Ovis aries: one gene and its partner. The protein of the gene in region 2 interacts with the protein of the main gene of each other region in a pairwise test. Links are inferred from orthologs where the notes say so. Each region holds a gene or a part of one and is shown on either strand. Other genes may lie near its edges.

Region 1 (4,981 bases), on a different chromosome or scaffold from region 2:
GTTTTTGTTTTCCAGGCATTTTAAAATACTGATGACTTTTTTTCCTGCTAACAAAATTTGTTTCATATATTGATCTCCTGTCTTAGGACTTTGCTCTGCTGATGAATCCTTGTGCCGGTTTTGTAGATTTCTCACAACCACATAATCCCTGAGTGAGTCTTTTTCCACTCTGGTGGTCAGTGGTAAACTATCTGCCTGTCAGTGCAGGAGCAGCAGGTTCAATGCCTGGTTAGGAAAGATCCCCCGGAGAAGGAAATGGCACCCCACTCCAGTCCTCTTGCCCATGGACAGAGGAACCCAGCAGGCTAGAGTCCATGGAGGTCACCGTCAGTCACAAGTTAGCAACTGAGCACATTCCCATCTTGCACCATACCCACCTCTGCTTCCCAGCGCTCTGTACACTCATCAGCGTGGGACTAGTTACATTAGCGTGAAGACTGGACTTGGCAGCAGTAGGTTGGGGACCCCTTGACAATTGAAGGTCAGCACCAGCCTGGTGTTTGTGTCCTTTACCTCATCTTCTCACCCCCAGGGGTGGGCACCTGTGGTCTCCGTGGTCCATCTCCAGCACAGGGCTTGCTGGGGGGCAGTTCCAATTACACGCCTGCCATTAACACGCCTTTCCATAATTCAGGGGGGAAATGCTCTGTGGGCATTTTTTTTCCACTGGAGACACTTTATAGAGGACTAATACTTTTAATTTGAATGGAATTCTTAGTCTCCTTACTAGAGGTGGGAAATAAGAGAACTTGTTTTTTGTCCTTCAATTATTAATTCCTGAACAGCAGGACCACTGGCACCAGACTAGCTGAGCCACAAGGGAAGCCCAAGAATACTGGAGTGGGTAGCCTGTCCCTTCTCCAGCAGATCTTCCTGACCCAGGAATTGAATCAGGATCTCCCATGTTGCAGATTCTTTACTATCAGGGAAGCCCTCCGGGGAGTTAAAAACTGCTGCTGCATTAGATTGGTAAGGATCAAAGAAGGTTATTGCTTACCCACCCAGGCACTTACTACCCACCAGCACTTACTATCCATGACAGACCTTCCAGTCTGTGGACTCTCCAGGCCTCTCTGACTCTAGGTCCAAATCCTGGGTAGACCTCCCACCAAGTACTCTAATGCTCACCCCTGCCCTCTCCAACTGCTGTGTGCTTATGTCTGTCAGCAGCCTCCTGGACACACCTTTCCTGAGGCTCAATAAAGAACCAGAGAACAAGCAGCAGAGACGGTTTCAGGTGGGAAGGTGTTCAGCAGCTGTGGTTCATAAGGGCAAGGCAGTAAAAGGGCGGTTATTACACATCCCGTTTCACCAATACCATCAGAGTGCAGCTCAGACATTGAAATTCTAAAGCACAATGATGTTATTATAAAGTCTAACACATGGACACAAAAGCAGCAAGTTCCATTCTCCTGTCTTTTAAGTATAGAGGCTCACCCCCAAACATGTGGCCTGAGCACCCTAAGGTCACAGCAGTAGGCTCTAGGGAGGCCACACCAACCACCTGCTCCCTTGACTCTCCTCTAGGGAAGAGGCGCACCCCTCATGTTTTACATTCTGGGACCACCCCCACAAGTAAGACATCACACATCATTTCTTTTAATTCATCTGTATTTGTTACAACTTTTTGAAGCAGAATGTGACTTGAGCACTACATTTCCATTCACAAAACTGGCTCCAAGTTACCTTTCCAGAGGCTTTACAACATGCCTGGGCAGGCTTATAATTTTGCTACTCTAAACAATATTTTTCTTTGGAAAACAAGCCCTATGTATGGACAGTGACTCCAATCAAGTTGGTTCAGCTTAACATACTAACTTCTAGAGGCCTGGCACATGCAGTCATAACTACAGGGGATGGAAGTTTTAAAAAGTATATCCCAGAAGATGAAAACTTGCTGTAATAAGTGTTTCTTTTAAACACCAAGGTATATACTTCAGAACACTTCAGTGACAGAAAATTTTGGTCTACTAAAGAATCCGCTTGATAGCTAAACACTTCAGACCACAAAGTTAACAGAGGTTACACACACCTTACAACAAAGGTTAACTACTTCCATCTGTTAAAATAAGCCAACATGAAACTAGGAAAAAACGAGCTCTGCTTTAGTGCTAAAAGTATCACAGTATCACACTTAGTATAAAGAAATCTTATCCTCCCCTTATGCAGTTGTCATGCCATACAGATTTTAAATGTTAACAAAAATAAAGAAATACTCGAGAACATATTGGAGGGAACGGAGACAGCGCGTTGAACACACCGCCAGGCGAGCCTCGGCAGCGCTCAGTCTACTTCCTCCATGCGGGACGTGTCGTCGTCTCCTTCCAGGGGCGGCATTTCCTCAGTGACTGCAGCGCTGCTGTCGTCAGCAGTGGGGTCATCCTCGTCAATACCTTGAAGGAAATAAAAAACACGGATTAAGTTTCTTCAAGCCGCATAATTAGTCCAACACTACAGGTTCCTCATACCCGCTTCTCAAGGCTGAGCGAATTAGAAGCGACATGACGAAAGGGGCTTATTTACCCCCTTTTAACTCATGTGACTTCAGTGTTTTGCAAATGGAAAAACAAGAGTGCCCAACTTTGTTGAAATTGCTGAAAGTTCACCCTTTTCAACAGTCATCTGTTTAGGTTTTCCCCCAATGGTATTACACATGGTACTTGCACAAGGCTTACCAAGACCAAGTTTGATCATCCTGTAGATCCTGTTGGCGTGTGTCTGGGGATCCTCCAGACTGAAGCCAGAAGACAGGAGCGCTGTTTCGTACAGCAGGATGACCAGATCCTTCACAGACTTGTCATTCTTGTCAGCCTCTGCCTTTTGCCTCAAGGTCTCGATGATGGAATGGTCAGGGTTGATCTCCAGGTGCTTCTTGGCTGCCATGTAACCCATCGTCGAGTTGTCTCTCAGGGCTTGCGCCTTCATGATCCGCTCCATGTTTGCTGTCCAGCCGTATGTGCTTGTGACAATGCAGCACGGGGAGGTCACCAGCCGGTTGGACACGACCACCTTTCATAAAAAAAAGGTATACAGCGATAACTGGGCACAGAGGTGTTCCATTCTCAGTGCTTGTCACCAGGTTTATTTGAATATTTAAGGAACTTGAGTATTAATGAATCAAATACTATTTGCAAATACTATTGCAAATCCGAAGCTTTAAGTTCCTTTTAAGTTCTAATGTCTTTAAAGATGTTAAGGACTATGTATATGTGACTTGTTCAAAAGACACCTAACACCCCTAAGAAGGGTTAGTAACCAGAAAATATAAGAAAAAAGATGGTATTCACACACCTTTTCAACTTTCTTCTCCAAAATGTCCTTCATGATTTTGCAGAGGTTTTCAAACTTTGTCTTTTTCTCTTCTTGTTTCTTTTTCTCTTCCTCATCTTCTGGAAGTTCCAGGCCCTCTTTGGTGACTGACACTAAGGTCTTCCCCTCAAACTCCTTCAGCTGTTGCACACAGTACTCATCAATAGGCTCAATCATGTAGATCACTTCCAAACCATGCTTCCGGAGACGCTCCACAAAGGCCGAGTTGGCTACCTGGTCCTTTGTCTCACCTAAGAAACAGAAGTTTTATATCTTTTAACAGCAGTCTCATTTATTTCGGTTAGATTAACTCCTACTAAATTATGTGTACCACCACACGGGTAGAAAACGTGCAACTGTTCCTATGGGATCACAAAAAGATCGACTGTCACAGTTATTGCCTGTAAGGTACCTGTGATGTAATAGATGTGTTTCTGGTTTTCCTTCATTCTTGTGCAATAGTCCTTGAGAGAAACCATCTCATCACCAGAAGCAGACGTATAGTACCTCAACAGCTCTGAAAGCTTCTTCCGATTTTGGGAATCTTCATGTATTCCAAGCTGAAAAGACAATGTTAGCTTTAGAAAGACTTTCTCTGTGTTCAATTATTTCAAAAGGAAAATCAGTTTGATTACTACTCTTAATAGTCAAATGTGTTTCTAACCAACCTTAATATTTTTAGAGAACTGCTCATAAAACTTCTTGTAGTTCTCCTTATCTTCTGCCAGTTCAGTGAAGAGTTCCAAGCACTTTTTGACCAAATTCTTCCTGATAACTTTCAAAATTTTGCTCTGTTGCAACATCTCACGGGAAATGTTCAGAGGAAGATCCTCAGAATCCACCACACCTCTAATGAAATCTGAAACAGACCAAATGCAGCCAGTCACTCCAAAGACAAAAACTGACAAATCCGTAAACCCAAAAAACCAAAGATGAATGATTTTCCCCATGTTTAGTTTAAAAACCAGGAGCTGACAGGATTAATCTCTTAGACTAGTAACAGTGACAGTTTCTTCTATCAGACTATACTTACTCAGGTATTCAGGGATTAGCTCCTCACAGTTATCCATGATGAAAACTCTGCGAACATACAGCTTAATGTTGTTCTTCTTCTTTCTGTTTTCAAACAGGTCAAAAGGAGCTCGTCTTGGGACAAAAAGAAGGGCTCTGAATTCCAACTGTCCTTCAACTGAAAAATGCTATAACAAAACAATCAAGATTAACACAGGGCAAATAACTTGAAGCAATAAAAAATGTCACGTATACCAGAGTTACCTAACAATGACTCTGGGCAAAGCATGGGGCATCGAGGAACAGAATGCAGCCTCCAACATCTGCAGAGAAGGAAGCACTTGGCAGTCACTCACCTTGACCGCCAAGTGGTCCTCCCAGTCGTTGGTCAGGCTCTTGTAGAACTCTCCATACTCCTCGTTAGTGATGTCATCAGGGTTTCTGGTCCAGATAGGCTTTGTCTTGTTCAGCTCTTCTTGATCGATGTACTTCTCCTTGATCTTCTTCTTCTTCTTCTTGTCCCCATCCTTCTTCTCTTCCTCCTCTTCATCTGAGCCAACGTCTTCTATCTCGGGCTTGTCATCAGACTCCTTTTCTTCTTTCTCCTTCTCTTCCTCTTTGTCTTCCTTCTCTTCTGCTTCATCATCGCTAACTTCTTTAT
Region 2 (6,141 bases):
TGTCAGAGCTTCTTGGGGCATCTGGTCAACCCCCAAGATGGTAGAGAAGGAGAGGCACAGAGACCAAGGGTAGTGTCCACCTAGCTGGTCCCAGCCACGGGAGGATGATTTTAAAAATTTCCAGAAGGGGGGAGTTCCCTGGTGGTCCAGTGGTTGGGACTCAGGGCTTTCACTGCCAGGACCAGGGTTCCATCCCTGGTCAGGGAACTAAGATCCTGCAAGCTGTGTGGTGTAGCAAAAAAAAAAAATCCAGGAAGGCACTCCAAAGCATACCTCCTCCTAGGATAGCTGGGAAGACTCAGATTTAAAGGCTGGAAATCACTTAGAACAGAGGCTGGCCCACACCAAGTACTCAACAAGCACTCATGTTCTCTACTCACAACTTCCTCCACTTGAAAATGAAAATGAAACAAAGATTAGTCTGAGCACAATACTCTGTGGACTAAAGAAAACCACCACAGTGTAAGGGTCACACTGGCCATTGACAGCATGTCACGGGTGTTCAATAAATATTTACTGACTGCCTGGAACGTCAGGCCCTGCTCAGGGCAGCCTACGGTGGAACTGCTGTCAGAGTCACTGCCCTCTGTCCCCACCTTTGACCCCAGGGAGCCCAGACATCCATGACAGTCTCACTTTCTTCAGCTGTTTCCTAGATTTGTCACAGACATCTAGACTGGGAGCTCAACCCTACTTTTCTCCATCTCCTTGCCTTGATCCTTCACCTCTCAAGGGGAGATGGTGATGACCACCTGTCTGTTTCCTGGCCCTCCAAGGCTGCTCTGAAGCCCTGGTGCCATGTCCCCATCCCTCACTCACCTCCCCAAAGTGCATGTAGATGTATTCCCGGGCACGCTGGTGCAGCTCCGTACAGCCGATCTGCTCAGCGAAGTTGGCAATGCCGATGGCATTGCTGGGATCCAGCTGCTGCACCAGGAAGTCGCTGCAGGCACGGACCACGCTGTCGATCTGGTACATGACAGCGCCGTTCATAACGTGGAGCACACACTTCTCCCCCATGGAAATGGACGCGGTGTAGGCGAACTCAATGAGCCGCTCCATGACCTTTGGGTGGATGCCCTCAATGGACACCACCTCCATGCCCTGCTCCCGCAGCCCGTTGGTGAACATGGCCTTGAAGACGGGGCTGGATGAGGCCAGCACCACCTTGTGGGCCATGAACTGGGCAGCAGGCGCGTCCTGGTACTTGACCTGCAGCGTCACATCGCATAGCTGCTGGCTGAGCCGCAGTTCATTCATGATGCCAAAGGCCTGCTTGGTGTGGTCCTCCAGGGTGTAGCTGAAGGTGCGGTTGCCATGCTGGGAGGGCGTCACCTCGGCCTTGCACTCGGTGGAGGCGTACATCACCGTGTCCCCTGCCCCCTCGGGGCGCTGTGATCTCAGGGGTAGGAATTGGGTATGGGCCCCGGCCCCGCTAGGCCTGGGTTCCGGCTGCATGGGGTTCCAGGTGACAAGGGACAACGCCACCACTGGCACTCAGGGGCCTGGAGGGGGAGAGCACAGGGCTGGGCACAGGGCTGGGGGCTAGGCCTTCTTTTCCAAGATAAAGTGACTCGGAGACCACTTTTCCTTCCCAAGCCCAGGTAAAGCAGTGTTCATTTGAGCTCCCTAACTGACCCATGGCCCCACCAGTCCAAGGGCCCACCTTAAATCCTAGGTCACATGGTGCCCCTCCCCTGCTCAGAATCCCCCCGACCACTCTCTGTGGCATGAAGAGTAAAACCAAACTCTTCAACGGCCTGCAAAGCCTTTCACAGTCAGCTCCCGTCCACCTGTTCCCTTTGCCCATTCTGTTCCAGCTCTCTGGGGTCCATCCCTTCTCACAGCATGTCCAACTCATTCCTTCATTCACCCCATCAACATTTCTCAGGCATGTCCAGGCACTGTTCTAGGCACCAGGGACACAGCAAGGAGCCAGACAGACATGCACTGAGCCCCCCTGGAGCCAACACTGGGGAGGAAAGGGCTATAAGTGAAATAAGCGACAGTGTAGCGTGCAGGTGTTTATTTAAAATCAGGTAGTCCAGGCCTGTCTTGGAGCTGGGACTAGAAGGATGAACTTATGAAGGGGGCGGGGCGGGGGGGGGTGGTTGTTAGCTTTCCAGGCAGAGGCAACAGTGAGTGCAAAGACTCAGAGGCAGAATGAGAGCTGACCTGGAGAATCAGGGAAGAGTGTGATGAGAAACACTAGTGAAGGGAGGGTGTCAGTGAACCCTGCGGAGTCTGGAGGGTCAGGGCGTGAGTTGGGTTTGAAAAACTCAAGCAAAGAGAAGGCAGGGGATCTACAAGAGGTTCTTCATCTTATTGTTCCCTGGGCTCCACTCAGAGTCACCTCCTCTCTGTTTTATTTCCATCACACCACTTATCAGGAATGGAAATTAGCTCCCTTGCTTGCTTGCTGATGGATGAAGGGTCTCTCTGGCCCTGAGCCTCAGGATTCAGAGGGCACGTAGCCCTGTGTGGGTCAGGGTCCTGCCCACCTTCTCCTGTGCCTCCCCTGCAGTCCGCCTGGGGCCTGGCACTACGCAGGGGTCACTAAGCTGTGGCTGGCTGACTGCCCACTCCACTGTGCCTGCCAAAGCACCCTCCTCTTCCACGGTGCCCTGGACACTGCTTGGCCGCCTCTCCCCAGCCGAGGCCCGGGCCTGCCTCTTGGTCTTTAGCCAAACGGTCAACGGTGCCCCCTGGGCACTGGACACTTCCCCCTCTGCCACCCCCCCCAACCCCCCCCCCCAAGAAGCGGTAAGTGGGGGGACTGCGCATGTCCCGCCGGCGCAGCCAAGGCCTAGAGAAGGGAGGAAGTGACCCCGCCGCGGCCTTTCCATCGCAAGCCCCGGGCCACAGACCAAGGTCCCCCCGCCACAAACGCCCCGGGATCCCCGGGATTCCGTCCGAGCGACGCTTCCTGGGCCTCTCGCTCCAGGATTCACCCGCCGGTCGCGCCGTCCAACAAAAGGTCCGGACTCGAGCCGCGCCCTCCTGGCCGTCCGCGGAGCCGCGGGAAACCCCGAGGCGACCGGGCCCCGCATCGCCCAGCGCTCCGGCCCCCGGCCACGGTCGCAGAGCACTCTAGACCCTCGGTGCCCTCAGCCCGGGCGCGGGCCGCTTCACTCACCCCGCCATGGCCGCGCTCGGGCTCCGCCTCCGTCGCCCAGGCCCGGGCGCCTCCATCGCAGCTCGCAGGGGGGAGGCGCGGAACGCGCGCAGGTCACCATGACTAAGCAGAGCCGGGAGCCGGCCGTGTCAGAATAAAAGTCCCCGCGGCCCCGGGCCTCGGGCGGCGGAGACGGCGGCGGGCCGCTCCCCACCCCCCCCCCCCCGCCCTTCCCCGCCCACGCTCGCTGTTGCCAGTTGCGCAGCCCCAGAGCGGCGTCCGCAGTGCCGATAATCGCGGCGGGGCCAAGGACCCAGCCCTGGGCGCACCCAGCCCGCGTGGTCGGAGCCGCCTAGAATCAAAGACCTGGGTTCGAGGCCCAGCGCTTCCCTGCACCCGGGATCACCGGATACCCCTCCCCGCCGCCGCCTGCGCGTTCACCTGCGTAGCCTCCGATACTCTCACCGCGGGGTGGGGATGCCAGGGGGCGCGGCGGTGGCTCCGGGCACGTTGGTGCCACCCGCGCACCGAGCTTCCGGGAAGCCCGAGGGGCCGTGGCCTGGCCCGGGGGCGGCTCCCGCCTGACTTTCGCTGTTGAAGACCCGCGAGCGCTTCCACTGTCCGGGGCGGCGGGGAAGGGGGGCTGTGGCTGGGCTCCGGGGCGGCGGGGCCTACGGGGTCGCGGCCGTCGAGTGGGGGGTTAGCCTCGGGACGCCCGAGAAGGAGGCGGGGAGAGGGCGGAGAGGGCGCGGCGGGGAAGGAGTCGTGATTCCCCGCCCTTCCCTCAGGTGCCCGGCGCCCATGGGCGAGGAATAGGGCGGCGGGCAAGGGCGCACGGCTAAGCCCACCAGGCCTGTCCCCCCACCCCTTCGCAGTCCCTTCCATCCGCCTGGTTTCGTCGTCTCAGCGCTAGTCCGCTTCCCACGACCTGCGCTTCTTTTAACTCCACACAGTGCAGGCCTCACGTTCAGGTGGCCGAAGGATCCAGACAGAGCTGTCTACCTACCTACTGGGGTTTTCATTGTTTTTATTTTTTATCTCCAATCTGGAGGCGCGAGGAGCTCGCAGTTGGGAATTCGAACTCCGGCTCTGCCACTCTAGCTCTGCCCGGCTGGACCTATAATTTAACCGCTCCATGCTTCAATTTCCTTCCTCTTAAAATGTTAACAGGGCTTCCGTGGTGGCTCAACGGTAAAGAATCCTTCGGCAATGCAGGGGACACAGGATCGTTCCTTGGATCGAAGAGATCTCCTAGAGAAGGAAATCGCAACTCACTCCAGTATTATTGCCTGGGAAATCTCATGGACAGAGGAGCCTGGTGGGCTACAGTCCATGGGGTCTCAAAGAGTTGGACACCACGTAGCAATAGATGTTAATAGTACAGGCACCTACCTGGTAGATTATTGGGAGAACTAATTGAGAATGCTAGCGCTCAATAAATATGAATGATTGTTATTTTTCATGGAAAGTGATACTGATTTTCCATTTATGCTCTTTGTTATATAAAGTTAACTTTTAAATGTATGTGGGTTTTTTTTTTTTCCCTCTTTTCTTTAAGAGCCCGTCCGTCTGAAACTCTAGACTGAACAGATACTGGTCTAAGAAAGGATTCCCCCTGCCCCCGGGGTGAATTTGGAAGATTCTGCCTCCCTGCTCTGGGTTTGGGATTAATCCCACGCAGAAGAAGGCTGGCCTGGGGTTCCTTGCTACTCCTCCCATGCCTGTGGCGGTGGCGAAGCTGTGGTTCTGAGTGGTTCCAGAGGTGGTGCCATAGCATAACTGCCAAATCCTGTATGGGGAGTGGCTGAGGCTGTGAGCAAACCCACACCCTTTTCCACATGCCAAAGGAAACCTCTGGTATATCTCAAAATTAACATCTACAAGCCCTGAGACCCAGCAGTGATATGTGCAGTAATTTATCCAAGGTACCCCTGCACATGTTTAGGAGGATGTATGTACATAGATGTTTATTGCAATACTGTGTTTAAATGCCAAATGTTGGACTCAACATGTGTGCATTCCTAGGGCCCTGATGTAATCTCTGCTATGAAATACTATGCAGCCAGTAAAAAGACGCCATTAGCTTTGTAAATGTTTTACCTCAATATTTTTAAATGTGAAAAAAAATGCTCTGTAAAGCAATTATTCTTCAATTAAAAAATAAAGTGACATAAAAAAATGTTATGGTCTGTGCCCCCTCCCCACCATCATATATTGAAGCCCTAACATAACAAATGATGGTATGTGGGCTTCCAAGGTGGCACAGTGGTAAAGAATCTGCCTACCAATGCAGGAGACTAGGGTTTGATCCCTGGGTCAGGAAAATCTCCTGAAGGAAGAAATGGCAACCCATTCCAGTATTCTTCCTGGGAAAATCCCATGGACAGAGGAGCCTGGCAGGCTACAGTCCATGGGGTCGCAGAGTCAGACACAACTGAGCGACTGAGCCCACATATAAAAATAAGTGATGTTATTTGGAGATGGGGGCTTGGGGAGGTAGATTTAGATGAGGTCATGAGGGTGGGACCCTCATGATGGCATTAGTGCCTTTATCAGAAGAAACACCAGAAAACTTGGATCTTTCTCCACCATGTGAGGACACAGCCAGAAGGCAGCTGTCTATAAGATAGGGAGAGAGTTCTCACCAGAAGCTTTCCATGCTGACACCTTGATCTTGGACTTCCAGCCTTCAGAACTATGAGAAATAAACTTTGGTTGTTTAAGGCACCTAAGCTGTTCCAATTAACAAAGTACAAAATTTAGACATGCAACAATTTCCAAGATGATACTATTAAACGATCAAAGCAAGGTGGAGAGCAATACTAAAGTTGTGTAAAAAGAGAGATGTATTTACATTTCAGCTCATTTACCCACAGAATGGCTCTGCAAGTTTCCCAAGTGTATATATCCAGGAGTGGGAACTGGTGCTTTTTGAATTTTGTAGAATGTGAACAAGTAAATAACTCTTCTGCTATCACACCATCATCAAACAACTGAGCAATGGGGTGGGGTGGCTCAGGTTGCCC

What was found.
Region 1: the proteins of KEAP1 (region 2) and HSP90AA1 interact in a two-hybrid assay, tested with the Homo sapiens proteins (2 studies listed by BioGRID). The link is inferred for Ovis aries from reciprocal best matches to the Homo sapiens genes KEAP1 and HSP90AA1.

What each region holds. Positions count from the first base shown.
Region 1 is NC_056071.1:64,569,946-64,574,926, forward strand, and holds the end of HSP90AA1 (heat shock protein HSP 90-alpha), read right to left. Parts: coding exon 4,677-4,981; intron 4,509-4,676; coding exon 4,343-4,508; intron 4,169-4,342; coding exon 3,978-4,168; intron 3,870-3,977; coding exon 3,722-3,869; intron 3,561-3,721; coding exon 3,292-3,560; intron 3,010-3,291; coding exon 2,545-3,009; 3' UTR 2,394-2,544; coding exon of another isoform or gene 2,284-2,393; 3' UTR 1,594-2,283; downstream 1-1,593. UniProt on the Homo sapiens protein: Molecular chaperone that promotes the maturation, structural maintenance and proper regulation of specific target proteins involved for instance in cell cycle control and signal transduction.
Region 2 is NC_056058.1:12,867,051-12,873,191, forward strand, and holds the start of KEAP1 (kelch-like ECH-associated protein 1), read right to left. Parts: upstream 3,829-6,141; 5' UTR 3,557-3,828; intron 3,214-3,556; exon of another isoform or gene 1,506-3,213; 5' UTR 1,459-1,505; coding exon 820-1,458; intron 1-819. UniProt on the Homo sapiens protein: Substrate-specific adapter of a BCR (BTB-CUL3-RBX1) E3 ubiquitin ligase complex that regulates the response to oxidative stress by targeting NFE2L2/NRF2 for ubiquitination.